2 linked regions of the Drosophila melanogaster genome follow. The protein of the gene in region 2 interacts with the protein of the main gene of each other region in a biochemical or structural test. Each region holds a gene or a part of one and is shown on either strand. Other genes may lie near its edges. The genes, in order: DIP-eta and dpr2.

Region 1 (5,046 bases), 5.3 Mb from region 2:
TGTGTAAAAAAAAAAACAAAAGTATCTAAAATATCTAATAAAAGTTACTATCACTATGGGCCCGGTTACTCGCTAAGATTCGCTGGTCAAGTTCTGTCGATTACTTAAATTACTATTGATAAGCTGAGGTTGAACCCTATATTTCTGTTCAAACTATTTTTACGGAACACTTAAAACTAGTTCGGGGGCAATAATAGAAGGGTGCCTGCTGCCAGACGCAGATATCAATATGTTCGAAAGTCCGCCCTTATGATTGGGGAACCTTGATTAACTTTCCAGCTGACTCGGCCATGAGCCTGAACATGCAAACGATTTCGGGTTTTGGAAAAATAAAAGTCTACTTTCTGGCGGCCGCAAACTGACAGGAACCATTTTAAACTGACATTTCATTAAAATTCCTTGTCCCCTCCCTTCGAGTTCGTATTGATTTTTTCATAATTTAGCGGAATTGAAAGCAAAGTTGCCGGCATGTGTGCTATGTGTCCTTTGTCATACACACATACACACACACACCCATACACTCACACATTTAAATCCGCATTGCATGCCCAGAAAAGTAGACTACAAAAGACAACAGGCAAACGACAGCACTGCAAATGGTTACAGGGAGGGGGTGGCGGTTGGCCTGGAACGGCGGTAGGCACTAAAAATGTCTAGCAAATGGGCCTGGCAATATTATTAATAATTTAGAGCATGCGGGCCACGTCAGGAGTCGGACTCGGAGTCAGGGACAGGTGATGGCTTCAGGCTTCAGGCCCACGGCCTGACCACAATCCGAAGCCATATCGAGGCGATTGTGTCGAAAGTACCTTCCCGCTTCTGGTGGGCAGCTCTTGGATGTTTGGTGCCATTGGATATTGATGGCGATGTAGATCACTGATGTTTATTAATTATCACGAGTTAAAAGTTTTGCTTTTCTAAATTGGCACAACAGCCTACACTGACAAAATATCTTCATTCATTCAAGCATATATAATATATATTGTGTTTCACATTCTTCTGTAATTATATAAAATTGAAAATATTTTGTAATAAATAATGGAAAGTATTTAAACAAAGCGAAAATTCAATCGAGCAATGTGATGAATGCCTAAATTGACCACAAGCAATTTTCCAAGCAAATGTGTAATTTATTTCAATTTGGATGTTTCTAAATCCTTTTCCTGTACTTATTTTGTTACCAGCTTTAAGTACAACTTATGAAAAAGCAAAAAAAGAAAATATTTATGACAAATAATAAGAGGTGCTCATGGCACCTTTGTAGTGTTCAAGCCATATATTATTTTTATGGTTTCGGACATGCACGGTCCCTTTTTCTCCAACGCTTCAATGTGTATAATCAGCTGCTGAATTATGGCAAATTTTCAGTAACCCCCCCGACAGTTTGCTTGAAGCACCTTTTGCATTTTTCCCTTTAAAACAATAATGCTGACATGTAGAAGCTTCAACTGAAATGTCATTCGCTACTACTACCAGACTTCTCGAGCTATACTTTAAATTCAATTTCCAGCGCAAACATTAATTAACACGTGATAAATATCCCGCTCTATCGCGATGCCACTTCGACATTTTTCAGAATTATTCGCCGTCTAGCTTTTTAAATTTTTTTTAATCCGGCCCAGAAAAGGGCAGCCCAGTTAACCGGACCTTGCATAAAATTTGCATAACTCATAGTGTTCAGGCTGGCAGCGCCTTCTAGAAATCAGAGTTTCGCTCGGTTTTTCACAATTTTCTCCTCCGCTCGCTTTCCAGCACGGAAGTTGATTATTATCGCTTGTTATTAACAACAGCAACAACAATGGCAGGAAAAATCCAACTCCTCACATGCCGGCCATTATGTCAAGCCGACTGAACGACGAGGCCTTGCCAACCATTTCGTTATCGCTCCGGGGGCAATTGGAATTCTTCTTATGCAATTGATACCGGAGCAGGCGGGGGAATTCGGATTAAGGGGATTACGATTTCGCAGCAGAACAACAGGGTTTTCAATCTTGAGTCAACATGTTTTAATTTCCATAATATACATATATGTATACCACTCGGCCCCACCTGGAGCGTCAGTAGACAGTGCACATTCGGCTGTGGGCGCCAACTGAAATCACAATCGAGCAGATAACAACTGATCAGAAATTATATGTAAAATGCAAATGATAGAGAAACGCCATAAATCGAAAACAGGCACCATCATGCCACCCCGGGGGAAAACCACCGAATGTGGGTTGTACAGTGTACACTGTACACATATTATTTCCGGTTCGTCCCAAAAGCGCTGCAACATATTTGCAACAAATGGCTAGCCAGCTAGACAGCAAATTGGCATGAAGCGTCGAGGGTTTGTCCTGCGCTTTATGGATATCAATGAACTTTAAATTACACTCGGGCAGCCGTGAAACATAAAATATGCAATTGTTGCCCATGTGGCCTAAACAGTGCACTCCTGCCATACGGGGACACTCGTAATAAACAGCGTCGAGTGGCGCGCCAGACACATTCACATTTGTAGGCAAATTTCACGATACACACACACACACACACAGACACGCATGCAGCTGGAATGGCAAATCATGTGACGAGCATTGACCGCCGAGGGTGGCCCGATTGTTGTTGCTTCATAAATAACTCGGGCTTTGTTTTTACTTTAAATATAATTACAGCAAACACGCAGCTGACGGCAAATGTCGCCAAAATCGCGGCTAAATTGCCAACAAGCGGCTAAAAACGCGCGCGACTCAACACGCGAGCGAATTCTACTTGTTGTCGATTTGACCTGGCCGAAATCGCTGCCAAACTATTTTCGAATGCCTTCACTGGCCGCAATCACAGCCAGCGATTAGAAAAAGGATTCCTTGCTTTCTTTCAATAGTCTTGCATGCAGATTTTAATGGAAGTTCGCATTTAACTTAATAGCTGCAGCATAACAACCTTTTTCAGAGCATTTTCTTGGCAATCTTGTATTTTTCGTGAAACTCCAAATTGCACATGTCCTGCGGCTGAGCTGTCCTGATTTTTTTTTTTTTAAATCCTGTCGAGAAATTCGCTCAGCACAAGTCACTCATGGCGTCTACAGCATCACTTCGATTCACTTGCAGCACGAATGCAACACTTGGCGGCAAAAAACACACGCGATTCCGTTAGGGATTCTGCTTGCTTGTATGCAGCAGGATTCGAAGGACTAAAGGCCAACCGCACGAACCGAGCGCCGTCGATGTACTGAAGCCAGCATTTCCGAGGGCCACCAAAGTCGCGTGGAACGACTCCCAGCGACTGCCGAGCGATGCCGAAGATGCTCCTTTGGCGAATCGTCGTCGTTTTGGGGGGTTTTGGGGGGAGTGTGGGCGCCCCAGTGGGTGGGTGGTGTTTTTTAGTGGGCGCCCGGGGGGTGGGCAGCGGCCTCGCGAACGAATCAGACAACTGTGATTTTTGTTGTTGCTGGGCCACATTTTATTTTGCTTTTTGTTGGCGGGCGCTTTTCACTTCGTGGTGCTTCTTTTTTCCTAACATGCTCTGCGCGTGTGTGTGTGCGTGTGCTGCCCAATGGGGGGCGCGCTCTCGGCTCGGTTGAATACGAATTGAATGGCATTGAAAGCCTGGGAAATTCTCTCGCCATACTTTTGGGCGCGTGAAACTGGTGGCTCGCATTTATGAATGAAATCTGTGGCAAAGGAAAGGGTTAACCCTTTTTGGGTTGGGTGAAGGGATGGTGATGGTGAGAGGGGGTGCTGATAGTAAGTAACTGTGTGAGATGAAGAAATGAATTGTCATTGGTCGTGGCGCTTGAATATGAGAGAGGGAATTATCACTTGCAATTCTGACAACTGCAATAAGTACAACAGATTATTGCCATAGGAAAATACTATATATTTTGACTTGTAGGTAGAAGAAAATGGAATGGAAGCCATCTGCAAGATGATCTTTCGCTGTCTTCTATTTTGGATCTCTTTTACGGGATTCATTTAATATAAATCAATCATTATCAGAAAATTATGCTTTAAATTTAAGTATGTATTGATAAAAAACAATGTTTCAATGGTTCGCAAGAAATAGTTTCCATAAATTTAAAGACGTAACTAAGGCCAATCTTACATCTAACTGAAATCTGTTTGAAATTCTCAAACAAAAATTTTCTAACGATATAATTTGTAGTATATATGCAGAAACAAAGTTCTTTCCAACTAAGAATTGAAATAAAATTTTTAAAATTAAATTAGTGCTTTACTAGGCCGTCTTATTTATATAAAACGATATAACAAAGTCGTTCAGCATGAAATATTATTTAATAAAATTCGCCTGCATCGTTCCGAGTCAGTTTTGATTGTTATTAAATATATTAGTGCCCCCAATACTTTGAAATATGCAACTAAAAATTGACTGCGATCGATTCAAAAATGCTTCAAAGTCCGTTCGCTATGATACATTATTTAATTAAATTTCTTCTGCTTGGTGAAACTTTTCTTTGGAGATTTCCATTATGTGTGGCAAGTGCAACAAGCGAGGCAGGAAAGTCACCCACCCACACACGCACACCAGCCAGTCGCTTTTCAATAACCGTGCCACATTGTGTCAGGCACCGTTTTGACCTGGCCACCGCCCTCTGCAACTCTAAATTGCTCATATATACTTATATATATATATATATATTTCGGGAGCTAATCAACTCCCGCCCCCTTTCCCTATCGCGTCTTTATAACAGGCATATAATTTCGCACAACACACGCACACGACCAATAAATAATAGCGATGGAAACAGTAGAAACCCACCAATAACAGATTTTATGACGTATAAAAAGGATTTATAAAGCGTCCCTGGAAGGAACTATCTATCCCGCTCCATTTCTCCATCGAAAACTTTTCATTGCGTGCCAATGCACTGGAGCCACAAATCATTTTTACCAAAAGGGTTAGCTCTACACTCGAAGAAAGAAAGTTGATTATTTTAAATTAAAATCAAAGAGATTACATATTAGAATTATTCAAGAACAAATACACTTTAATGAAATATTACGTTATGTTCAACGATGGATTTATAAATTTGACTATTCAACTATT
Region 2 (4,943 bases):
CTTACACAACGATTTGACTGCAGGATGTTGTTGGATGGCAGGACTCAAGTGTTGTTGTTGCATTGTCCAAGCTCTCGAAATGCTTATCATTATTACGAGGATTGGCGTTGCGATGCAACCGAAGCATTTTCCCTCCATAGCCATGGTCCTGCGAGCCGGATCTTACTTATTTATATTTATTCACCTCAATGGCGGTTAGATGAGTGTAATTTAGCCCCACAAGTTTACGTATTTTGGTTTACATTACTGCTAATGGTTTGGTTCCTAAATCGTTTTTGAAGTGCATTCTATAAAGAGAGGGAGGAAACATTTTCATTAACGCTATTATTTGTGAAATATTCATGAAAAGCACTTGAAATGAATTAATTTGAATTATTGCAGCCATTCATTGCACTGCTGCCTAACTTAACATAAATCATTGAAAAATTATAAAAGTGTTTTTTTTTTTTTTGTGACAAGAATATAATTAAATAGTTATATTTTTTTGCAAATTCTAAAGGATTCAAGCCATATATAGCCAAGTTTATAGTTGGGGTATGTGAAAAACCAATTTCGTCCATCGAATTCCATGTTCGTACAGCATTTAACTGAAGCAAACATTGATATTAACCGTAGGCCTTCATTATAAATGTCCTTCATTCACATCATTTATCCTGTATCAAATTGCAACGGCATTAATTTATTTTTACATTTTCGGAATGTTTACGTTTGTATTTGTTAAGCCCTCATATATTGTCTGTAGTGGCAAGTTGCTTATCGCCACCATGTCACAGGAGCAGTTTTAACCAACGCAATTTGTATATTTACAACCCGCAAGCCGCACTCAAATAGTTTTTTATTTGGCCATAAAACACATAAATTGTGCAACTGAAAGGTGTAGCCTTGATCACTCACGAAATGTGCAAGGGTCAAAAACCAATTAAAATGTTAATTTCTCCACAAACTGCGCTTTGTTTCACGTTACAATCGTGCTCCACGAACGATCCAAGAGATATTGTATTCAATAAATATCGATTCCATGCCCTTCGACCCACCCTTCAGTTATCATTACCACAGCACTTAAATGATTTCAACCGTTGCTGGAGTTGTGTAATGAGTTGTTGTTTGTTGCGATGCCAATCAAACAATGGTGGTAAAATTAACATGGAATCAGCTTAAAATGCGCACTGCAATTGTTATTTTCATGGCATCGTTGGTTAATTGAATTTAGTGGTTTTGGATATGTATTGTTACTTTTTGGATAATTTAATGCCAAACTTTCATCGCGATAATGATGCATTTATAATTTTAGGCTAGTCCATTTTAAGTGCCACAAGTACAGTCTGCTGTTAATTAATGATATATATTGTACTTCTATGGCAGAGTCACTCAAATTCAACTAAGCCCACTTATCAAATTTAGCAACTGGCTTTTGTCTTCCGTTGTGTACTTCAGGCATAAATGCAAGTTAATTAAGCAAACCTGGTTGCACATTAATCACCTGGACACCCGGCCAAAAAGCCACAAAAGCACCTGGAGACCACTTGATCTTTAAGGAGAAAAGTCAAGGCATAAAGCTCGAAAGAAAATTCAATTAGAAAAACACGAAAGGCGGCCAAAAGAGCGAGGAAAACGGTTCGATTTCAATGTCTTCTTTTTTTGGGGGCTGTCCCCGGACATATGTATATACTGCTATTCCCTATTCAAGCCATTCTTTATAAGGTTATAAGATTAATGAGAGACAAGCTCATCTAATACTATTCCCTCAAGCGGCACTTAATTAATGCCACATGCAAAGAGTCCTGCGAGGTCCTTGGCCTTTGTCGAGTCCTTTTAAAGGCAGCTGGCAAATTGTCCAAGAAGTTTTCCTTAAAATTTTTTTTACTGTCGTACTTAACGAGTTTTTACTAAAACAAGGTCGGCCTTTTGCCTTTTTGCTTAAATATTAAATGTAATTATACTTTATTATATAGTATAATATGTGCAAAAAATGCTTTAAATCAAAGCCAGTGCTAACAAATGGATGTGTACATGTTTGCAAAAGTTTTAAAAGTCCAAAACTACACCAATTATTGACTGTCTGTGGAAAGTTTATTTATTGACGGAACAACTTTGACCTTTCCGCATCACCTCATTAACTTTTTTGTGGTTTAGTGAATTAATTACCTTTCCTACTTCATATCACCACAAGAACTCATTAGAAATGAGGACTCACTTCAAAGTCAATCCGTAACACACGTGCTCATTAGGTACATATTTCCGATTTTTCATTCTGCCCTGGATTTCAGAGGAAAAATGCGAGTGAACTTCAAAAGCAGATAAGGCGAAGAAGAACTTGGAAAAACTTCCATCTCAACTTGGAAAAACTTTGATTTAACATTTATTTTTGCACGAAACTCTTGGTTGTTGTTTATGCAACTGTCTGGAGTTTCAGTTGAAGTCTGTAAAAAATGTGTTTTGTTTTCTGTGTTTCAATCCTATCGCTAAGCGTATAATTTGCAAGAAACCTGAGTAACAAATGCATTTTCGATTGGCATTAAATCACGTCGCCCGTCCGAGTTCATTTCCGATGAGAAATAAATGTTTTTCTCTGATTTATCTGTGCTCCACTTTTCGAGGAGGGAAAATCGAGCCACATTGAATGCGAAAGAGCAGTGTGGGTGGGTTAATATTAATGTACTTAAAGCTGTTATTCGACTCAATTTTGGTGTCAGCAGCAGCAGGGCGAATATTTCCCATGAATTTAACCATTTAAACATCCAATGTTAGTTTTTAACAGACAATTAATTCAGGGGACAATATCTTTCACTGGCCGCATAAAGCGGCCTCCAATTCGAAACTTCACTTTTGCCTCAAGAGCATTATACACTGAGCGAAATCGAAGCCGAACGATCTTAGTGTCGTCTCGCGCACAAGTTGAAAAAACAGATGCGGCAGTTGGGAAAGTTGGGAAACCGCGACACCGCTATCGAATGCGGCAACTACGAGATATCCTTTCGTGGCCAGGACCACAATCTGCGATAAGGACTCGTAGTCACATCCGCGCCAAAGGACGAAACACGTGCGCCGCGACTTGAAATTCATTTGATACTGCGGCATCCGAGGCCGGAGCTTTTCCGTATTGTTGTTTCCTCCGCGCTGCAAGTAATCGTTCCGATGTGAACCGAGTCCTGCCAGCCACGAACAGGACGACGAGTTGGTTGTTATTGTCACTCCCGCACTCCGAAAACGGGTGACTTTGCGGCGAATTCGGGAAAATCCTTGTATTTGAAGGGGCGACTGTCTCCAAGATGAACGTCTAAAAGGGAAATTTTGCGGGGAGAATTTAAGCAACTATAATGAGAACCCTACTTTGTTGTACCAATTAGGAAAAGATTCTATCCAATCATGCCATTTCATGAAGATACCAAAGCTTATAAATATTTTAGAAATATAATTAAAACTTCTTCAACTTTAAAGGTGTTATTTTTCAAATACGCAACAATTTTTTGTTGTTTGCACTGCTTTGAATTATGATACACTGCTTAGGAATTTCTCTTCACTGCTTATATGGGTAACAAAAACCTAGGGAAATTTTAGTTCTTGGACTGCTTGCAAAACATTTGAACTGCTTAGTTTCGAGAGAACTGTTCTAGAAAAATTGCCCAGGAAATATTACTGATCTAAATTCTAGTCTCTTTTGGGAAATAAAAACTGCTTTCAAGCCGCTTTTCCAATTTAAACAAGTGTGTAGTGCAAGCCATGCTGCCAATGCCAACAGGTGTGTTCAGAATCTTACGATTCATCAATATGCCCCCAAAAACATAATCAAGCACAGAAAAACATTGAGAAATACGCCTTTACTTCACATCTTTCAATTTTATTTTATTTATGCAAAATCGTGTTTTCCATTAAATATACAAATGAGATTTAAAATCAAATCAAAAGTATCGCGCTATTATGCAAGTATTGGGGAGGAGTCTACAGAAATGTACACACAAATGCAAGAAAACTATGAATAAAAGTATAAAAATATTTGAATCTATTGTTTGCCTTCAAAATGCAGTTGGAATTGTTAAGTTCAGTTAACACAATAGAGTTAACACTTCGCGCATCGCCACAAAAAACGCACTTTAATAATTACAATTACAAAATTTCAATGGTAGAACTTTTCACAAAACTCTCATGCCGTTGTAAACGAATTTAAAAATAATGTTTTCTCAACTTGGAGAAAAATGTTTAAACACATGTTTTACAACAGAAAATTTCTCGTGTCTTTCACTAATTTATCAGTATCGAGGTTGAATTTACTAGATTGTTAGTGTACTATCGGCATCCACAAAGATTTGCTCGTATTGCTTTTTCTTAATTAAACTTGACGAGAAGTTGTTGATAAATGTGAATGACTTCTTGAGTTTCGACTTATAGAACATTTTCCGGTTTTTTAACTTTTTGCGAAAAATTAGGGCTTCCTTCACTATTTACTATGACGCGTATTCTGTTTGCATCTGCTGCAGCTGCTGATGATGTTGCTGTTCGAGAAGTAAGCGTTCCTGACGCTTAAAATCATTTGAGCTTGGCGTATGCGTCGACCTTTTTGTGAAACTGGTTGTAGTACTCCAGGGCGGCGTTACGCGTCTGGTTCAGCGCCTGATTGATGTTCTCGGGCGAGAGACGGCCACTAAACAAAGATCACAATCATAAGGGATGCATTCTCAAAGACAACAAAGGCCAGGCAGGCAGGCATACTTACACAAGCACCTTTTCCTTGATGAGCGCTGCAGCCTTTTCATAGCTGCTGGCGGCTAAATCGCTAACGCCAGCGGCAAAAGCTTCGATTTTGCCAGACGAATTGGGCACGTATTGGTCAATCTAAAATATAGATGGAACGTATTATTAATTCAAAACTGGTTTGCCCATGACCTCATCTTCATGGCGACTAAAAGACACTTACGAACTTTGCCACAACGGGCCATTTGGCGCCA

The links.
Region 1: the proteins of dpr2 (region 2) and DIP-eta form a complex in vitro, tested with the Drosophila melanogaster proteins (one study listed by BioGRID).

The regions. Positions count from the first base shown.
Region 1 is NT_033779.5:5,614,733-5,619,778, forward strand, and holds the start of DIP-eta (Dpr-interacting protein eta), read right to left. Parts: upstream 3,215-5,046; 5' UTR 2,923-3,214; intron 930-2,922; exon of another isoform or gene 498-929; intron 1-497.
Region 2 is NT_033779.5:10,961,081-10,966,023, forward strand, and holds the start of dpr2 (defective proboscis extension response 2), read right to left. Parts: upstream 3,074-4,943; 5' UTR 2,146-3,073; intron 288-2,145; 5' UTR 145-287; coding exon 6-144; intron 1-5. Other genes in the region: Tmem214 (transmembrane protein 214), read right to left, coding at 4,525-4,639, 4,712-4,830, 4,913-4,943.